Coturnix japonica: one gene and its partner. The protein of the gene in region 2 purifies or fractionates together with the protein of the main gene of each other region. This does not show direct contact. Links are inferred from orthologs where the notes say so. Each region holds a gene or a part of one and is shown on either strand. Other genes may lie near its edges. The genes, in order: TMEM30A and ATP11C.

Region 1 (10,677 bases), on a different chromosome or scaffold from region 2:
CTTATAAGCTTCTTTCAAATACTGAAAGTCAAATATTTACTTCAGCATAAATGCAGTATCTCATTTAGTGAGAGGCAAAGCTTTCCCTCACCTAACAGCTCTTGAATCCAACTTATTTCAGCTGGGCTTGTCAGAGGAAGGTTTCATCTGTCAGCAGTCTGGCAGCAGATCACAGATCTCTGAAATGCCTTTGCTGAAGAAAGAGCTGCAGCTCTTAACAGATATCAAAGAATCTATGGGAGGGAGACCTTGAAGAAGATCCAGAAGGAAATAGGCTTCAATTGTTCCTTGAACCTTGAAACCGCTTGTTTAATTTACCCTTAATGTGGATTTTTGGGCAGATTACTGAGAATCAGAATGATTTATAGTGTTTGACCACAGCTGTAAATCAGAAGATACCATTGCAGCAGTCTTTCATAAAGCTGAGCAGGATTTGTAGCTCAGAGCACTTTGTTTTGGTAACTTGTCGCGTGTTGCCCTGATCTGAGTTCTGTTACTAAGTAGGAAGCTCCTTTTAAGTGCAGAAATAATAGTTCATAAACAGATGGAATCTTTCTCCTACACACGGAGCTAACCTGCCGAACCCAAAGCAGTTATTTCCTTCCGCTTGTATCCTGCAGCTACGCAGGAGAGAGTCAATCAAGTGACTTCTGTTGGCAAGGGCTATAGGATGAGAGCCCCAGGTGCTCAGGATACATTGTGTAACATAAAGGTGGCCCAAATGTGCAGATTTCAGGTAAATTTTTTTGTTCTTGTTGCTGAACTATTAAAGACAGATCCTTGATAAGCTACGTTAATAGTGATCGTATTTTCTTTTTCATCTGGTATTTTACTGTTTTTGGCATTTGTGTCTTCACCTTCCCTGTTTTAGGAGAGCTCTTGAGTGCCCAGGGAGGCTGTGGATGCCCCGTCCTTGGAGGTGTTCAAGGCCAGGTTGGACGGGGCCCTGGGCAACCTGATCTAGTAAATGTGTATGTTTGGTGGCCCTGCCAGGCAGGGGGGTTGGAACTACATGATCCTTGAGGTCCCTTCCAACCCGGCTCATTCTGTGATTCTGTGATTCATTAAGCGGTCTTTGAAAAATCTGATGGAGTGCCTAAATATAGGCAGTAAATAAAAGTTTTCTTAAGCAAAACTTTTTTCTTATTTAATATCTTTGTAGGCTTTTAAAAATGAGACTTCTCTGGAAAGCATGTAGCAGGTTAGATCTGCTTGTTATATACTGAGCGTGTTTGGTGGTGCCATGAGTATCTGCTCAGTGTGTTTTGGTGGGTTGTTTTGTTTGTTTCTTTCTCTTCTTTCCCAGCATTAATGGCCCACACTGGTGCCAGATTTGTCTGAGGCTGGAACAGAATATGCAGTCAGAATCACAAAATAGTTTGGGTTAGAAGGGATCATGAGATCATCAAACAGAGCTTTTGGAACTGAGATGTAGTAATACTGCAAAATAAATGCCACACCGATTTCTCTTGCTTATTAATCAATTTTATTTGCTTTCTCACTCTAAACTAATGTGGATTTTTTTTTTTTTTTTTTTCTGTTATAGATTGATTATACAGGAATAGAGCCTTCCAGTCCTTGCAACAAGTGTTTAAATGTGTCCTGGGATAGCACACCGCCTTGTACCTGCACAATCAATTTCACACTGGAACATTCATTTGAGGTACATAACCTTGCATGCAAAGTGAAATGAGATCTGCTGATGTGGTTTATTTTGTAAGTGATAGGAAAATTGCATTCTCACAGCCTTACTTTGTGTCTGCCTTGAAGGATTATTTCTAGTATTCCTATGAACTTGGATTTGATGGCTGTGTGTCTTTTCATTAGCAGAGATGAGATGGTTTTTAGTGCCTCTCTATCTGGAATTGCAGTGTTAAGTGGGACACGTGTCTTTTACACATCTGGATTTACTGTCTGTGTCCTAGGTGGGCGTCATATACTTGACATGTAGATAAGCTATTCCTGCACAACTTAAACTGAGTTCAGCAGGAAGCAGCAGCACTAGATGCATTCTTTGAGGCAAATAATGAGGCTTATGTGCTTGGTGTTGGACAAGGTAAGTATTGGGATAGTACTGATGAATATCCTGCTGCTGGTTTATGGCATGTTGATATTGTTTGACTTCAGGATGCCAGCTTTTGTTGGGATAGTATTGTGTGTATTCAGTACAAAGAGAGTCTTTGAGCATCACTACTGTGAGTGTTACTATAAAGTAAATACAATTTAAGAGGTTGGATTTCCAGGTTTCAGTTAACCAGCATGTTTGTGTGTTTTATTGACCTGTTGTGTAAATCAAAACCCTTCTTGTAGAGTAACGTCTTCATGTATTACGGACTTTCTAACTTCTATCAAAACCACCGTCGCTATGTGAAATCTCGAGATGACAGCCAACTCAACGGAGACAACAGCTCATTACTTGTAGGTATTCGAGCTTTGATATTTACAGATACTAGTAGGCAATGAACAGCTGACTTGCATAAGTTATCACAGGGCAGAATAACTAGTTTAATAATAACGTAGCTGTAGAATTTTTGTATTCAACAAACAATAAGGTATTCATATTTTTTATTAAAAATAATAAACGTTCTTTTATTTATTAAATTCTTAATTCTTTTATTTATTAAAAATAAATAACATTCCAGTTAGAACATTTTTTCCCCTCTTTTAACAGTTTCTAAGCACAGTCTTAATTTTACAATGACCATCATGGGATTTTTGACTTTATTCATATTTTATCTAGAATATTTTCCTGCTTGTAAAGAAAAAAATCAATCATATCGATTAGCAATGAATGCTGAAGTATATGTAAATAAACTCACTCCTGAGAATATTTTGTAGTAAGTGTGAGCTGTGTACGTGTGTGAAGTACTGAAGTATAAACTAGCACAGACTGATCTGCCTTTTTTTCTTTCTAACTGTCAGAATCCAAGTAAGGAATGTGAGCCTTACCGCACCAATGAGGATAAACCCATTGCTCCCTGTGGGGCTATTGCCAACAGTATGTTTAATGGTACGGTAACACTTCTGAGTTTAGCACTGAGGTGTTTTTGTGTTGTGTATGCTTTGTACTGATGCTTTATTCTGGGTATTATTGTGGATTGTTTTGTTTTGAATTAACACACCTTAATTGTTTGGAATGTTGAGATTAAAATACCATTAATAACCACCACAGTGAATTTAACCTGATAGCACACAAGGGATTGAAACATCTGTTGTGAGTGGCTGTTATGGCTGTGGAATAAAGATGCTATACATGTATAACGCACTGCTCTGTATGTGTGTGGATTATTACAGAACAGTTCTTGATTGTGGCAATTTGTTTTTCCTGTAGATAATTATTTTACTGCCTATCAGGATCATTCATCTAATAAAAGCCACTCTTATCTGGTCTTCCAATTTGATTTTCCCCATAGATACATTGGAATTGTACCACATCGAAAACGACACAAGGACCGCTATTACTTTGATTAAAAAAGGCATTGCGTGGTGGACAGATAAAAATGTGAAGTTCAGGAATCCTACAGGAGATGGAAAGAATTTAACTGCGCTCTTCCAAGGTAAGAAATGTGTGAAATTTTAAGAACAAAAGATTTCAAACACATTGATTGCCATGGACTTCACCTCAATGGTGACATTGTAGTGAACATGTTAAATATATTGTTCTATGAAGAAGTCCAAGCTAAGGACTTCTCTGCTTTCTGGAAGAGTTGTCTGTTAACAGTGGATGCTGCAAATTTAATGCAGAACTAATATAATTTTTTCTAAATTCACTGTAGTCATTTAACATGTAAAAATAGAACCTGGGCTTATTTCCTGTTTAATCTTTCTGAACTTTCATGAAAGCTCTTTCTGTCAGTTGCTTGGCATCAGATTAGTTTTGCCTTAGCAACTAATCCAATTTGTTAAGATGGTGAAAAGATTCTTGGCTTAAGTGATATTTCAATTACTTGTTGCCGTTTGGGATCTTGAAATATCAAATCAAATTCTGATATATATATATGTGTGTGTGTGTGTGTATATATATATATGTATATATATAATAGCTCTTGATAACTTTTTATGCCTTGAATACTGAGAAAATCCTCGTTAAGTGCAGTGCTATAATACGTGGTTTTAACTTCAGAAGAAATCCTGTGATTATTTAACCAAACTGTGTGAAATTTTCTTTTTTAATGTTTCTACTGGTAGATCTTACAGTGCTTTTTAAAATCTGATTATTTGTGATCAGATTAACTGATTTTTCTCAGTTATAAGGTTAAATGTAGTTAAGTACAGCCTGGTAAGTCGGAGTTTCTTTGACAAAGTCTAAAAGCAGTTTTCCTTCTGGGCTTTTGGGTCTGTGTGTATATGTAAGATAGAAAATAGCTCTAGGTTTAGCCTGATATGTCTTGCTTGCTTAGTCACAGCCAAGTGACCTTACCAAAGTGATGTTACCCTTGCAAAGGCAGATGCCATACTCTAATGTTCCTGAGCAGTTCAGTAATCTTGCAGTAGCAATGAGCCAGTCTGGCTCTTCGTACTGCTTAGGATTCACTGCATGTTTTTTATGATACTAGAATGAATTTTGGTGATCCAGTGCTTCATTTAGTCCTGTGTTTGAAATGCTTTATTGTTGTTTTTGTTTAATCTTAGGTACAACAAAACCAGTCAACTGGCCCAAACCAGTGTATATGCTGGACTCTGAGCCTGACAACAATGGCTTTATCAATGAAGACTTTATCGTGTGGATGCGTACTGCTGCTCTGCCAACATTTCGTAAGCTGTATCGTCTCATTGAGAGGAAGAGTAACTTACAGCCTACCTTACAGGCTGGAAAATATTCTTTGGATATCACGTACAGTATCCTTTGAAAATGCCCTTAAAAACTCCTTAGAACACTGTCTGGGTTACATGGGTGGACTTTTAAGGAAGGTTAAATCAAATGAGACTTTATAATTGCTGTCTTCTGCATATAGTTTATAGAACTAACTTATGTTTGTTCTGTTAAGATCATGAAATTCAGTTCCGTAGCTTCATAAAGGGAAATGACTGGGTCATCTTGACTTCAGAATGGCCACCTGAAGCATGGAGTTGTCTGAGCTAGTTATGCTAAAGTAAGAAGTAGCTCTAATTAAAAACCAAAATCCATTGTTCTAGGAAAGAGAGAAAGCTTTCTTTGATGCATAGGAGGGATGTGACAGTCTGCAAAAACCATGTTCCTGTCTCATGCAATCACTCAGACTTGTGGTATGTCTGTGGCTATACCATATAGAAAGTCACAAAGAATTTACTATATTATAGAAGTTGACTTTATGGTGAAGGTTTTGCCAAGGTGACTTTCGTAGAATCATAGAGTCACTCAGGTTGGGAAGGACCTTAAAGATCATCAAGTCCAACCGCAGCCTAACCATGCTACCCTAACTAACAGCCCTCTGCTAAGTCATGACTCTGAGCACCACATCCAAATGGTTCTGAAACACATCCAGGGATGGTGACTCAACCCACCTCCCTGGGGAGCCTATTTCAGCGCTTAACAGCCCTTTCATTAAAGAAGTTTTCCCTGATATCCAGCCTAAACTTATCTGGTGCAACTTGAGGCCATTTCCCCTCATCCTGTCACCAGGGAGATCAAGTATCTTTTTGAGAATATTATTCTTTAGAAATGTAGGATTTTACCTCTTGTGTTTCATTTTTAACTTAAAGCACATCACACTTGCCTGATGACGAGGGTGGAGGGAGAAAAACACAATGCTGCGGAGTCAGCTGGATCTTCAGATACAATCTAATACAGGAATGACTTGTAAATTTGTAGCCTTATTGCAAGTTTTTTCACTTAGGCTCATATTCTTCAATGTAAATACAGTTTTAATCATAATTTTCTTAAACTATTGTGTAGCTCTCATAGAACTGCATTATGTATTTAATGAGGATGAAAATATTATTTGGATTTTTTTTTTTGTTTCTGTTTTCAGAGATCACAAAATGGGGGGACAAAAAAAAAAACAACAGCACCCCAGTCTTCTAAAGAGGCCTTTGTGAGATTATAAATTAATATCAGGGAAGATTTCAGTGCAAAATTTGCCAGTAAGCAAATGAAGGACACTAGTCTAGACACTAGTGTCTTCTCAGTATGCTTGAGTGCTTAGAGGGGTATGGTCAGCCTCATTCACCCTTAGTCTCACACAGCTTGTTCACATATGTGGCTCCTTGCAGTCCCTGCTGCCTGCTTCAAGGGATTGAGGCTGCAGTCTTTGCATGGGAGCATTTTCATGTGATAATTTTTTGGGTAGATACAGAAGCAGACAGACTGCAGTCTAACAGGAAGATGTGTAGGCATAGTTCAGGTGATGCTTTGCTTGAGCTGTTAATTTAGAGGTGAAGAGCTCAGAATTTAGAGGCCAGAGCTGTGGATCAGGTGCACATCTGTCATTCCTTTTTGGGCACACAAAAGATGAGGTAGTTATGTAGGAGACTAGAGGAGGCAGGTTGTCATAGTTACTGAATTCTTAAAACTCGAAAGCTCCTGAAGATCATTAAAGTACTCACTGCAGTATTTTTCTTCCCTGCAAAACAGCAGAGAGTGCGTGTAAAAAAGAGTCTATTTATTATTTATCTATTTATTCACTAGGAAAAACTAAAATACAGATTTCAATTCCTCAGTGTATTTTCTTCATTTTATTGAAGTTCCTTTCAAAGGCCCATGAAACTGCATTTACTTTCCACTTACAAAGTGAATAACCCCTGTGGCATTTTTCTTGGAGTAGTTGACTGTGCCCAAGTTAATCTTTTTTTAAAAGAACAGCTACTTTGAAGCTACTTTGAATATTCAAAGATGTTTGTGTCGGGAGCCTGAGTCAGATAATCCAACATGTTAGTGTGCCTGATTAAGTTAGGTTTGGAAATGCACTTCATGTTTCTTGTTTTCCTATATTCCTTGTTTTCTCTCAGATTATCCCGTGCACAGTTTTGATGGACGAAAAAGAATGATCCTAAGCACAATCTCATGGATGGGAGGCAAAAACCCCTTCCTGGGCATTGCGTACATCACTGTTGGGTCCATATGCTTCTTCTTAGGAGTTGTATTGCTGATCATCCATCACAAATATGGAAATAGAAACACCAGTGCAGACATTCCCAATTAAAGTCGCGTTTTGAAAGCAACTATGCTGCATGTGCATCAAGGCCAGTCCAGAACGGACCCAGCTGTTGGAAGATAAATCTCTGCTAATGTCACTTCTGGGGCTGGGTATATAATTTTATCTAAAGATCTCCTTTCCCCCTTGCTGTGGATTAACTCTCAGAATGACGGGTATACAATTAGCTGTATTGATTGTATCTCTGCATTTGTCAGAAACAGTTTTCTGATCTTTGCCTCTGGCTGGGCAGGCCATTTGATGCATGTAGCTCCGGTTCCCTTGATGCATCTGCTGCTTGTCATGTGCTGTGTAACGTCAGTATGATTCAGTACATACAGATTGTGGAGAAGACTGTTGTAAGATACCATGTAAATTGTTCATTTAGCAGAATTTGAGTGTCATTGCTTTTGAAAGGAAAAGGCAAGTCTTAAGTGTTTTTTTCAATTTATTGTCTTGTGTGCATGGACTCTTACATTTCCGGATGAGATTTTAATATATTTATATTAGCAGTTAAATGTTCTTTCCTGTGTCCTACCCACCTTTGTTACGTTAGATTCTTTAAGTGCAGTGCGAATTGCAACACATGGAATTCCTGTTAATAGTTGCAACAGATGTGCCTGGCCAGTAAAATGGCATTCTATAAAGGCATCGGGAAACCTATTTGTTCATTATCTCTATGAGTTCCTCTTAAATTTTGTTCTAAACTGGGAGATGTTTGTTGCAGGTAGAACCTGCTGTTTTGTTGTTCTCTTTGCTTTAAGTTATATCCAGTTTTCCTGATGTGCTTTGCTGGTTTTGCTTTTTAAAGAGTACCTCCATGCAGTAAGCAAGATGAATCTAAAATGTCTGTTCAAGTCACAGACTTGAGTGAATTCCTTTCACTAAGAGTTTCTTGAAACATGTATTCTGCTGAGCAGGCTTTGTTGTAAAGGAAATCTCACGTTCTGTTTCCTTATATGGAGTAGATGCCACAATAAATTCTTGCAGTGTTGAGATACTGAACTGTAGAAATTGAGAAGCTGAGATGACAGTGATCTTTGTTATTCCAGTGCAGCTTATGTTTGCAGTGAAACCTAATTGAAATATTGCAGTTAGAAGCAGTGAGGTTTAGTGTCATAAACAGCAGAAGGGTTCACTTCTAGGTTAATTTGAAGCTAGTTAATCTATAAAATACTATCTGATTTCTTTTTAGATGATGCACAGAAATTGTAATGTATATGGTGGAGATCACTTTATATGCAACTAGCTTCGTAAGTACTGAGTGTATTAAAAATACCTAATAAATTCTGCAAACCATTTATTAAGAGATTTTACTTTCTTCTTGAACGTGCATTTATTTTCATCTGGGTGAAAAGCCATTCTCATGAAGAATGAATGCGTTTTAAGCAAGTTGTATTTCTCAGTTACAAAAAATCAATGTAACATCTACAGCCATCTTTATACAACACTGTATTAATCTAGCACATAAATGCAAAACTATATTTAGTCAATTACTTGTGTAATGTTTTTCAGCTTGCGGTTTACGTGTTTAGGTCTGCATACACTGCAGGATGAAGCAGTGTTTCCATGGTGCTGGCTTTCTGTATAAGCATATAATTTGCTTACACAGTACATTGTGGTAGCGCAGGGCTTTTAAACATTCAGGTCTTCTAGATTTTTTTGCAGTGCTGTATCTGTTGCTGGAAATATAGGATAAAGATATAGAACTGTATATTGCAAGGTTGGAAGGTTGCACAAGATGTTAAGCTGGCATTCCTCTGGAGAACAGTTTAGTCCAAAACAAAGTAGACAAGTAAGATGTTTCCCATTTACTGCTTACTAAAATATTTTGATTTTTAAACCATTTGTCACTTGAAAGGTAAATGTTTTGCTTTATTCATGACCCCTTTTCTGAGCAGGGAATGCTGGTTTTTGGGCTGCGTTCAAAATGGAAAAGAATATTTCTCTATCTCTACCTAGAAATGTTTTTCATTGCTTTTTTCTTTTCCTGTTGAGCACAGCTGTCACTGCTGTTTGGATCTTCTTAATGAAGTGCACCAAGAAGAATTGCTGAATGTTTGTTCTTGCTACAAATAAAGCCTTTTTTCTGAAAGCCTGTAGCACAAAATACTTGTCAGTATGCAGTGGCGCAGTGGTAGGAATGCTGCGTTGCAACACTGGAGGCCCGAGTTCGAATCCCCCCTGTGGCACAAGTGGTAGAAGCGCCGCTCTGCTACACAGGAGGCTCGAATCCCAGGGGTTGGACTCAATAATCTCTAAGGTCCCTTCCAACCCGCACAAGACTATGATACTATGATACTATGAATATGAACATTATGCCCAAGGAAGTCAAAATATTAGGTCTAACTTGTAATCTCTTACTTTACTCTTCTTCGTTTGCCTTGGTAGCACGTAGGTAACTACTGGGATTCTTAGACTTTGCGTTTCCTGGAAGCTGCCAATGTGTCATGTGTTCAAAGACAAAGCCACAGTGTCCCTGTCTGACACTTGTCAGGGCGGTGTTGCTGTCCCAGTGCTGTGTGCCGTGTGTTGGAGCTGACCACCTGTGCCCTGGTCCTTCAGTGACATCCGTTCCACACAACTGCTAGTGTTCAGATCTGGAAAGCAATGCCTCTCGTTTCCAAGTGCCAGCCAGGCACTTTCCAAATCCCACCCTGTTGAGGCAGTGCCCAAAGCATGAGATTATAGGCTTCCTGGAAGCAGGCGGTGTTAGGACATCCTACTTGTGAATGAATCTTTCCTGGAGAAATTAATGTGGGAAACTAGGATGTGTCTCTGTCTTACGCAGGAGCTTTTAAAACAAAATCCTTTGTGTGTGTCCATCTTCCTTCCAGCCTTGTTAAAATCTGCACAGCTGTAGCAAAGCAGAGGGCCCCTTGGGTACTTTTAAATTGCTTTGGGCTATTTGGAGAGCTGTTGGTTGTGATTAGCTGAGTCAGAGGGAAGAGTTATCGCCTTAAAACTTGAATGTGAAGAATTCTTTGTAGCCTTTGCCTCTGAAGGTCACATTGGTACTGAAACCACAGTGTCAGCAGCCTGGTTTTGCTTTAATTATGAATGTTAAACCTTGAAGAACACAAGGTTTGTCTTTTTATAGAAATCTTTGACAATCTAATGTCAGGTAACATCTGCTTGAGTCTGCCAAGTAGCAGAAAATGCCTGAAAATCTGATCCTACCTTGGTCCTACATAAGACCAATATCTTTTGTATTTGCTTTATAGAAATTCTATATTTGTTACTGTGTGTTGCTCTCTGCAACTCAACTAATTTTGAAGAGTTAGAAAGGAAGAGGGCAACAGTGCAGAAGCCTTCATCAATGTCCCAACAATAATAACAACAAATACATACCAAGGTAGTCCTATGAGGGGCTGTATCAGCCTAGTTACAATCAGTTACTTATAAATAAAATGACATTTTTGAGTGCTTGTGTCTGTGTTGAACAGCCTGCCAAAAGAAAACTCTTGCTTGGTAGGGGAAGGAAGTGAATGGTCAAGCTACTTTTATTCCAGCTGTCTTTTTAGCAATGTGGTCAATGTATGGACTCCTAAGATAGAAGGCCCCA
Region 2 (10,081 bases):
TTGGTCACATAATTCAATGCCTCAGGCCATGACAAAGGCTGTGTTTCCTTGGTGGTTCTTTAAGACTTTTACACTTTAAATGCCTCCATGTCACCCTGTGTACCCAGCCGCTGGGACTGACCCTTTAGGGACAGGGGCAGCAGGTAGAGGAGAGCCAAACACTAAAGCTCTGCAGTACTTGGTATGACCTTGGCTCTGTGACAATCCTCTGGAGTTTTTAATCTGAACTTAGGTTGCTAACTGAGTTCTTATTGTAGGAGCACGTGATGACGAGCATCTCAGATAAACCCAATAAAAGATAAGGTTTCCCCCAGGCCTACCCGCATCTAGCAGTGTGGTTATTACACTGCAGAAGCTCAGCCTCCCAAGAGATCCCCTCAGAGCAAAGCTCAAGAAAGCCAGTTTTGTTCACTCAAAAACCACATCCAAATTAACTACAGTGAAGGATTCTATTCATTAGAGGCTAACATGCCATTCCCAACAGTCAGAAATAAAGAGGGTGGTTAGAAAACAAAGGACATCCCTCTTCAGTGGTATTTAAAAACTGCCAGTACTTTCACAGTCTCTGACAACAATCTGCAGAAATTTAGATATGAAATTCAGCTGTTTTCCAGCCTGATATCAGGAATATGGACAGGGCAGGCACAGCACAGCCCAGCATCAGCCCTTGGAAAATGCACACATTGCAGCTGCAATCAGAGCTGCCAAGCTCCAGCACACACCTGGGTAGAGGACAAATGCCAGCTACAGCTCAGCTGAGTTGAATGGGTACGATCCCACCGAAGCTCTCAGCACTGGCTTTAATGGTGAAATAAAGGTCAGAGGAAGTTACCTTGTTTCATTTAAAATAGAATCAACCTTTGTTTGCATAGAGGACAGCAGAAAACCCCATTATTTCACCAGTGGGAACTAAAGCATAAGAAGCAATCTGCAGTTCACCACGTGGTAAAGACAAAGAGAACGTGCCTATCAAAGGGCAGCAGCCTACCATGATCCCTAGCACCGATCCAGACCAAAAGCCCTCTGAAAGCAGCAGGTAAGTTCCCCATCTGTCAATTGGGATTAGTTCAGCCATGTGTGATCAGTTACAACAGCAAACATAAGCAACACAGACTGATAGCAGCCCTAGGTATCAGATAGGTGTATCAGGGGGTCTTACCTATTCCAACATGTGCTTCCAAAATCATACTGACATCATTCGCACCGTCCCCTATTGACAGCGTTATTGGGCTCCCTTTTGTGTTCTTCACCATTCGCACAATCTAAAGATTTAAAACAGGATAGCAGCACAACCCAAAAAGTTCAGTAGGAAAACAAACAAACAAATAACCCCACACTGAAAAATACCCCACCTCCAGAGACCCCTGCAACTCCCCAGACACTCCTGAACAAATAACCTTGCTCTGTGGCAGCCAAATAAAGAGTTCAGATTAATCAACACCCTCACTATTTCCTCTGCAGCCATCAATCAAAGGAAAAGCCAAGACCCAGCTTCACAAGGCTGAAGGACAGCATGCAGAAACAAATCACTCCCAGCAGCAGCCTCCCCTTCCCCCTTGCCAGACCCTGCTCTCTCACAGAGATGTGGCCTCTCATGCATTTCACATGGAAGACAGTCATACCCTGCAGCAGGGCTAAAAATGCACTGTTTATAATCCTTTATCATCAGCTGGTGTGAGGAAGTCATGGACTACAGATTTGGAAAGGAAAAAAAAAGAACAAATGGGTTTTGTTTATTCCTAATTGGCTTGGGCTTGTGGCTTCCTGCAAGCGTATTTAAGAAAGGTTTTATATTCATAATTGAAAGACTGGTGTGTTTCCATAACGCTCTGAAGTTCAGACAAGGCTAATACATAGCCTGGGGAAGTCCTGGCTGATCAAGATGAGTAAGCTTTATTTAAAGCAGCACTGCAGGAAACGCAGCCTCACACCGTTATACAGAAATAATCAGTGGTTACATCTACCACGTCTTTAATGAAAGGAATACTTGACTACAACTTGTTGAAGGTTTTGTGCTACCCTAAAAGTCGCCCTGCTTCATCTTCCTGGTAAATCTGCAAGTCAGACTGTTCTAGCAACACCGCTGCCTTTTGGATTTGTGAATTCCTGTGCCAGGTGCACTGCTTCCTGCTCCCTGGGGAATAACAAACTGCTTTGCAACACCCCTTCAGGAGCCTTTCTCTCAACTTGGACATCTACTGCCCAGTGATGGCAGCTGACCCTCCAAAAAAAACCAAGAAACCAGGTCTGATGTGGTTTACAAAGTTGTCTCACTGCAGGTTTTGAAGCCCACTTGCAGATCAATTTCATCCAATGGAGTAAAGGTGTGTTGTATCACTTAACGACATGCTTCAGTTAGTGGGAAAAGAAACCAAAAAGGAATTCACCTGTGCTTTCTGCAGAGGAGCCATCCGACAGCACAGAACTGCTGTACACTTCAGGCAGATTTGTAGAAATATGTTTTTGTAATGACTAGAACTGGAATCCTGAGAAGGATTGAGTATCAGCGACAGTGTTGAACCATCTATGATCAGGCCGTATTCTTGACTCAGCGTCCAGCTTCTAGGACACAACAAGGAACAGATTTGGAATAAAGAAAATCATTCTAACAAGTCAATCCAGCTGCTTTTATCATCTCAGTGGAAAAGGAACTACTTGTGTAGTAATCTTTCTCTCATCCTTTCTGGGGGACTTAGACATCATAAAATAACCTAGATTTAGCACACATCCTTCGCTAAGGGAGCTGCATAATTAAGTTCAAAGCCAGCTAAAGCAAAGGAGACTGCAAGCAGCGTGTCTCCCAACAGACACAGGCTCAGATCTCACCACTCACCTCTTCAGGCTACCCCGGGGTTTGGGAACATCCTGGATCAGCCTTTTGTGGTAGTCCATCAGCAGCTCGTGCAGCCGGTCCTCCTTCCTCTCGCTCTCACCTACCACCCTGGCCGTCAGCTCCAGCAGCTCAGTGCTAGTCTGGAAGAGCCTGCAGGCGTAGCAGGTGGACTTGGCTGTCTCCATCTTGTCCCCTGTCAGTACCCACACCTTCATGCCGGCAGCATGCAGAGCTTCGATCGTCTCTGCTGACTGTTCCTGCAGCCTGAGTGCAGAGAGAAAAAAAACCTCACTGCTCAGGCTGGCATTGGATGCAAGGCAGACTCTGAGCAGCCACTACCACACCGCTGGACAGAAGCAGGATGACCCCAGAGCAGCTCTACACTACGTGCACAACTCAAGAGAGTTGTGATAAACGAGACCTTCAGAGAAGGCTGTAAAGCCCTTCCCTGCAGGCCCCAGGCAGGAACCTCAGAAACATGTTTCTGAGATACAGCACTCGATGGGTGTAAAGAGGCTTAGCCAACACCGCCTCTTAATCCACAAAGCCCCCTGGGGAATCCTTATTTTGCAGGTAGGGAATGTAAGCTAGGGAGAAGTTAATTGATTGTCCCCACACTGAAGAGATACTGCCACAGGAATAAGGATTAGAGCTCAGCAATCCCAAGTTTTTTACATGCAGACAGAAATCACCGCATTATACTACAAGACCCAAGAGTCAAGAATATGAGGTTAATTTACACATGCACTTACTGTAACTGCAAACAAAACTGCATTTGTTTTGATGTGTAAATTGAGGCTGCATGCATTCATTCACTTTGTAGAAGTGTGAGTACTTCTGTGGTTTCGCTAATAAATCCTAACCCCTGCAGTAGCTGATTTTAGCAGCTAGGCAGTATGTAACGGGTTGTACCACTGAGTAATTGCCACTGCATGCTCCCAACCTCTGCCCTGCTGCTCAGCTCTCATGGGGATGCTCCAAGTTTTCTCCCACTGCTCCCAGGGGAATGCCAACCCAGGCTGCAAAGGAATCTCACCACAGCTCACGCAAGAAAGCAAGGGCCCACCACAACACAAAGTTGTGAAGAAAACATGGGTACCAACACGCTTGGTCTGTGTGCTGGTGCCTGTTTACCTGTCCTCTACAGCAGTCGCCCCAATCAAGTGCATGTCTGCTTCTGTGTCTTCAAAGACCTTTGCCATCTTTTCTTCCCTGTCCTGCAGAGCCATCTTTGCTTCATTAAGCTGCCGGTCAATCCTGTCATATTCCTTTTGAGTTAGTTCCTTGAATGCCACACAAAGCGTTCGGTAGCCATCCTTGTAGGGGTGGAAAAAGAAGCAGACAACTGCCCTTAAACCCTGTTTTGTGCAGCTCCCCACCTTAGGGCCAGCACTTCTGTCAGCACTTTGTCAGTACTGAACCTGACTATAAAGACGGATGGCTTAAGTCAGAAGACAGCAGCTGTGTTCACATAGTAACTTCTTCACATCAGAGCATACACGCATGCACGTAGCACAGCAGACATAAGACAAGGGCAAGGCCAGAGCAGAGATCTTGCACATAGCTGGGACAACTGAATGCCCCTGCACCTAGAGCCAAGAAATGGCCACCCTCCCACACCACCACCACTGCCAGATCAGCCTCCCAGCACAGGCTTCACTTCCACCTTCACACGCACATCACAACCGACACAATGATTCCTCCCACCAGAGCAAACAGTGTGCTATTGTTAGTGCTATTTTTAACTTGCTCGGGAGATGCGGGGACACAACAGCGATCAAACCCATATAAGTATATCAAAAGTCAAATAAACATGGAAGTCAAAGAAACAAAAAAGGAAAGAAACCAGGCTTCAAAACAATACGGAGTGACACTCAGATCTTCAGTACTTCCCTCCAAAGCGAGGTCACATCCCTATTTTTGGCATACAACTTTCCTGACCCCAGAGCCAGCCATTTCCCCACTGCATGCTCACCATAGCATTGCGGTCCACGTGGACTTTAGTTTGTTGGATTTCCTCTTGCTGCACTCTTGGAAAAATAGAGGAGTCTGCTCCTTTACAGAAGAGAAGCAGCTTTCCTAAAAGCAAAGTTATAAGTAGTTTATAGCATTCAAAAGCCATAGAAAGGCTTAAAGGACATTGGCTTCAATACCAGCAAGAGATACAGAAGAAAAAGTATAGTAGAACTAAAGGAGGAACTGCTAGAAGGCTCCCAAAAGTGGTCTGACACCTGGCACAAAACATTCTTTGATATTGGGCTGAACTATTGAGTGTAGCTGTACCTGTGGTGGTTCTCACAATGACACTCATACGACGACGGACAGGGTCAAAGTTCAGCGTATGGAGAAGCTGGTACCTTTAAAAAAGGAAGAAAAGAATTTGACCTTAGGCTCAGCACAAGGAAAACAGCTCTTGAGGACAGCTGCACACTGACTATCCAGAGAAGTGAAACTTGCTTGGGGGACAAACAGTATGGGAGCACTGGGGTTAGGCAATTCACTCCCAGTTTCTTGCACGCATGTGGATGTCACAAGAGCTGTGAGCACAGGGTAAAACCAAATAATTTTCCATCTGGGAGCCATACTGCACCGCTTAGGCTGTGCCCCGCTTGAAGGCACAGCTGCTACCCATAAGGTTCTGGGGAAGGAAGGAGACTGCAAGGGACAGCACACACTCAAGGGATCTAGAGGCTTCCTAAGGACTGACAGCAAGCCTTTGCAAGCAAACCCTTCACCCTGCTCACTGCACAAAGGAGCAGGGGCTGGGCAGGTCGGTAACTGGTCTGACAGCCTTTGCTGAGCAGTTCTGACCTTGCCTGGTTTAACACGCTGACTGAGCTTAATTAACCCACGTGAGAAACAAAGCTGAACAGAGTCCATTCAACCCCTGGCAGCAATATTCCTGGCAGGCCCTGTGGCACTTACATTTCAGTTTCATTCTTTTGGTTTCGGATTTTCATGAAATCATTTTCAAGTCCTAGAAAAGTGAAACCATACCTGTCAATAAACAAGAGGACAGAACAATATTGAGAGCACCCATTGGCGTGTGTTACACATTAACAGACTTCTCATTTCATGATCTGTATTGCTGAGGAGAGGTAAGAAGTTACCAAGCCCAAGCTAGAAGGTTTGGGCAGCTGCTTGCAGAGCCAAATTTAACATGTTGGCACCACCCTCATAACCTGGGAAGTTGGACATTACAATTGCTAAGGTGCCATGAGGCTCTATACGTGGTCCTCCAGGAGCTTTACATGAAACAAAACACAACACCGTCAGATTCTTACTTCTCAGCGCCTTTCACCAAAGCAATTTCATCTGGGGAAGAAGAGATGTAGGTGTTCTTGCACTCAGGGTGTCCTATCAGCCCATCCACCTGGTCTGCTTGTTTGATCCGAACTGTGTGGCACAGGCACAGGGCTCGCAGGAACAGCTCCTCTCGGCTCTAGGGATGGAGAAAGGGCCCACGATTAGCTCTGTGCCATGCATCCCATCCCCCTCAGAGCAGCTGGTTACCACTGCTGTGTGTATGTATTTCAAAACAAAAAAACCCCACCAACCACCCCCACGACTTCAGCAGTAATAGACCATGCACTGACCCCTAGCTTGGAGCCACCAACAAAACACTTTAAAGATGCAGATTTCTCACCTTTTCTGCTTTGCCGTAATATTTTAGGGGTCCATCAGTCTGCGAGAAGCCATCAACCTCTGAAATGCAGTCCTTGTACTTGTGCCCATCTATGCAGCACTCGATGAACTCCATGCTGTTCTCCGTCAGCGTCCCTGTTTTGTCAGTGAAGACAAACTCCACCTAGAAGAGATCAGACACCCACCTCACTGCACTGCTGCAGCCGTCATTGCAGCAGGGCCATACGTGGAAGCAGCCCTCCACAAACTGAAAGGTTGGGTCAGTTTGATACATCTGTGCCAACCCTTTGCTGCTTTCTTAACCTGGTCCCCAGAAACATGCAGGTGCTTTGTGTGGACAACACTGGGCTATTCTACTACCTCCTTCATTCTTCAATCCATTGCACAGCTGACAGGAGTCAGCACCCAAAGGCTTCTAAAACTTGCTTCAAGACCTTTTGTTCTCCCTCATCCTACTTCTTGGCTTCTTTGCTCTGGCTCCCAGTGCTCATACAGCTGCTGCTGCAGATCTGTTGCCTCCTCTGTGGGACTTCCTCCTTGGTGCCATATTATATACACACGTAATTGCTACTCCAAACTGATAGTATTTTTAAAAGCAAAATAAGAAGCAGGAGGCACCATACGTATCCCACACTCAGAAAAAGAAGCTACAACTGCTCCAGCAAAGCCAGCAGCAGGATGGCTGCACGTGCAGTGTGTGCCCAGGGAGATAACTGGGCAGGTGTGTTTGCTAATCCTTGAAGAGACATAGAATTTCTGACTTTTAATTGAAGCAGTGAAAGCAAACCATCCTGACACACTAAGTGCTACGCCTGATATTCCCCAGTATGGAAACAATTGGCGTGACCCAGTTCCTCCTCCTTCATACACTATTTATAACCTTACCAACTTCGTGCCGCTAGCGGAATCGCGTTAAATGGAAAGTGCCACCAGTCTGGCTGAAGCCCTGTACTGCTGGGACTGCAAGGGACTGCCACAACATGGTCTCTTATCAGGGAGAACATTACTCCAGCAGCAGTGGCCCATGAGTTGGTCTTCACAGCTATCAAGAAACATACAGGTGCACATAAACCACCACCAGAAGCACCAACCACCACAGCAGGAGGGGGCAGTACACGGTGTGGCATGCTGGTGGCTACAGCAGCATCTTCTGGCTTTCTTTCTGTGCTGCTGTTCCCCTGCCAACACAGGGACGTCTCTCAAAGCAGATGCAAACAGAGCCTGTTCTGACCTGTCCGAGCTCCTCATTCAGGTCTGAGGTGTTCACCAACGCTCCCTCTTTTATTTCTTCATCGTACATCTCTTTGTCCCAAGAGATGAAGAAGGAGCCCAAGAACTTCTGCATCTCTACTGTAACATACATGGAGACCGGGATAATAAAATTGAAGAGGACCATGAAGGACAAAAAGTCCGTGAACATCCGCAACACCTGCAATGGAAAGACAAGAAGAAGATGCAGTCTGTGCTTGTCAGGTATAACACAGGGAGACAGCATTTCTTTAAATGTTAAATAGAAAAAAAGCCCTCTGAAAATAACTGAACACATTTAAGACAAAGGACCAAATTGTACTTTCCTTTGATATAGGAAATCTCTTTGCCATTTGCAGATATATGGGAGTATGACAGAAGAGCACACAGCGCTGTTTCCAAGTGACTAAATCTACGTTTTATTCAGGTACACATATTGATGATTCTCATCTGATTCTCATCTCAGGTATCGGCAGCAAGTAGTTTGAGAACAGTCAAGCACTGATTCTGTGACATCCCTGAAGTCCTAGTCAACAATCAACTACATCAGCTGATTCCCACCCACTCACATTCACTCCTTCAGGCTTGGCTGCATGCGTCTCTGCAAGTCTAAGAACCTGGCTGACACGGCCTCAATTTAAGTTTATCTACTCAAAGCTGAAAGATAGCTCAAGTTCAGATAAGGATCCAGGTTAAATCAGCTGCTGCATTTATGTAATATCTCTGCATGGTGGAAACGATGTTATCCTCCTGCTGTCAGTAGCCTGGCGTGCATTATGCCTGCCCCAAGGGTGATGGGGACAGCAGCGTGCGAGCAGGGTTAGAGCAAGCCTTGCTAAGAGCATCACTGCACACAAGCACGAGAGGCAGGTAGTAATCAAGACAGGAGGCAAACACAAACAGGAGAGACTGCAGCAAGTGACAGTGCTTCCAAAGAGCAAGCAGGCATCACAGGACTGGCAACAGACATGATCAGATTAAATAAAACTGTCAGAATAAATACAGCTGGAGGAGGTGCCGAAATACAAATCCATTTACCTTGAACGTCTCTCTCTCTTTTTTAGTCTTTTCATTGTACCAAGGCTCATCGTTAAATGGATTACTCTGCCAGACATATTTCAGAGTCGTGCACACAGTAGCTTTGCTCAATAGGATGCATAAGTACACTATCAAGAAAGCGTTGATAGATCTGAAAAAACAGGTTCCTTTTTACAATTCTTGCAACTTTCACATAGAAAAATCATGCAAACAAGCAGGAAGAAGCCTTCCTTACTTTTCAGAAGGGAATTACAGGACAAGTGCTTTGGACACTGCTGATACTCAGGGTCAGTTCACATAGCTTAACATTCCCTATGTCCTTTTTATTTAAACAACAACAAAAAAAAGCTACTAAATGATGCAGCTCCTTGAAAGATACGCTTAATCAAACACACAGATTGCACGGAAAGTCAGAAAGCATCTGAAACAACAGGCGGCAGATTGGGGGATTATTTCTGTGCAAATCACCCATGAAGAAAGCCACAGCTTTTACCCATCTCTGTCTGCTGTACTCACTTTTCCACAGCAGAGCGTTTCTGAGATTTCCCTTGGTAGTTCAAAGCCATTTTTGTCTCCATTCCGGTATAGACCGCCACTCCTGCAGAGGATTAAAGCAAAACTCATCAGGGGCTCGCAACCCATAAGGGACCCAGCTTTCACCGAGCCATCAAGGGCATCAGTGTTTACATGGAACTTGATTCCCAGTTCTAGAAATTGGCATTACCCAAGGGCTGATCGAATGCAGAAAGCTCAGAGCCTGCTAAGTTACATTAGTTACACATATCCCTGAGCACTGACCAGCAGCCAAAGTATCATGCACAGTTAGAAGAAAGATCAGCCTTCTCTATCAGCCTTCATTCTAAATTACCAGTGTCTAGACCCATGATTCTGGCACTAGCATTTAACAGAGGGCCTGGAAACAGCCTCTTGTTCTCTGTAACCCAGACAGAAAGAACAGCTCATTTAGGTGCATTAACACAACCTGCACAGCTTGGCAGCGCTGCAGATATAAGCAGCACCTCCACATTTCACCCCCAAAACTTTGCAATCAACATAGCTCTGCAGTCAGCCGGTGCACAAAAACAACTGCAGGGCCCTGCAGGTCAGTATTTTTCCACCCCAGATTTTATGATAAATAATGACAAATGTAGTTGCTCATCTGATCTATTTACGTAATCATAAATTTTAATAAACTGCTCACCATAAATCTTCTTGGTGTTTTTAAGGGTAGCACCTTTCAGCAACAAGTTTTCAGGACCCAAAGACCTAAAAATAAAAGGTTATAATAGAACGTCACTCTAAATTCTTTACAGTTTA

The links.
Region 1: the proteins of ATP11C (region 2) and TMEM30A purify together in Homo sapiens (co-immunoprecipitation; 4 studies listed by BioGRID and IntAct, with this or other methods). This does not show direct contact. The link is inferred for Coturnix japonica from reciprocal best matches to the Homo sapiens genes ATP11C and TMEM30A.

What each region holds. Positions count from the first base shown.
Region 1 is NC_029518.1:73,684,978-73,695,654, forward strand, and holds the end of TMEM30A (cell cycle control protein 50A), read left to right. Parts: intron 1-1,546; coding exon 1,547-1,663; intron 1,664-2,310; coding exon 2,311-2,418; intron 2,419-2,922; coding exon 2,923-3,010; intron 3,011-3,413; coding exon 3,414-3,557; intron 3,558-4,632; coding exon 4,633-4,839; intron 4,840-6,927; coding exon 6,928-7,121; 3' UTR 7,122-9,207; downstream 9,208-10,677. UniProt on the Homo sapiens protein: Accessory component of a P4-ATPase flippase complex which catalyzes the hydrolysis of ATP coupled to the transport of aminophospholipids from the outer to the inner leaflet of various membranes and ensures the maintenance of asymmetric distribution of phospholipids.
Region 2 is NC_029519.1:4,922,241-4,932,321, forward strand, and holds part of ATP11C (phospholipid-transporting ATPase IG), read right to left. Parts: intron 10,031-10,081; coding exon 9,966-10,030; intron 9,363-9,965; coding exon 9,281-9,362; intron 8,916-9,280; coding exon 8,765-8,915; intron 7,908-8,764; coding exon 7,710-7,907; intron 6,642-7,709; coding exon 6,480-6,641; intron 6,276-6,479; coding exon 6,118-6,275; intron 5,831-6,117; coding exon 5,759-5,830; intron 5,191-5,758; coding exon 5,117-5,190; intron 4,913-5,116; coding exon 4,809-4,912; intron 4,150-4,808; coding exon 3,968-4,149; intron 3,098-3,967; coding exon 2,834-3,097; intron 2,563-2,833; coding exon 2,388-2,562; intron 1,263-2,387; coding exon 1,160-1,262; intron 1-1,159. UniProt on the Homo sapiens protein: Catalytic component of a P4-ATPase flippase complex which catalyzes the hydrolysis of ATP coupled to the transport of aminophospholipids, phosphatidylserines (PS) and phosphatidylethanolamines (PE), from the outer to the inner leaflet of the plasma membrane.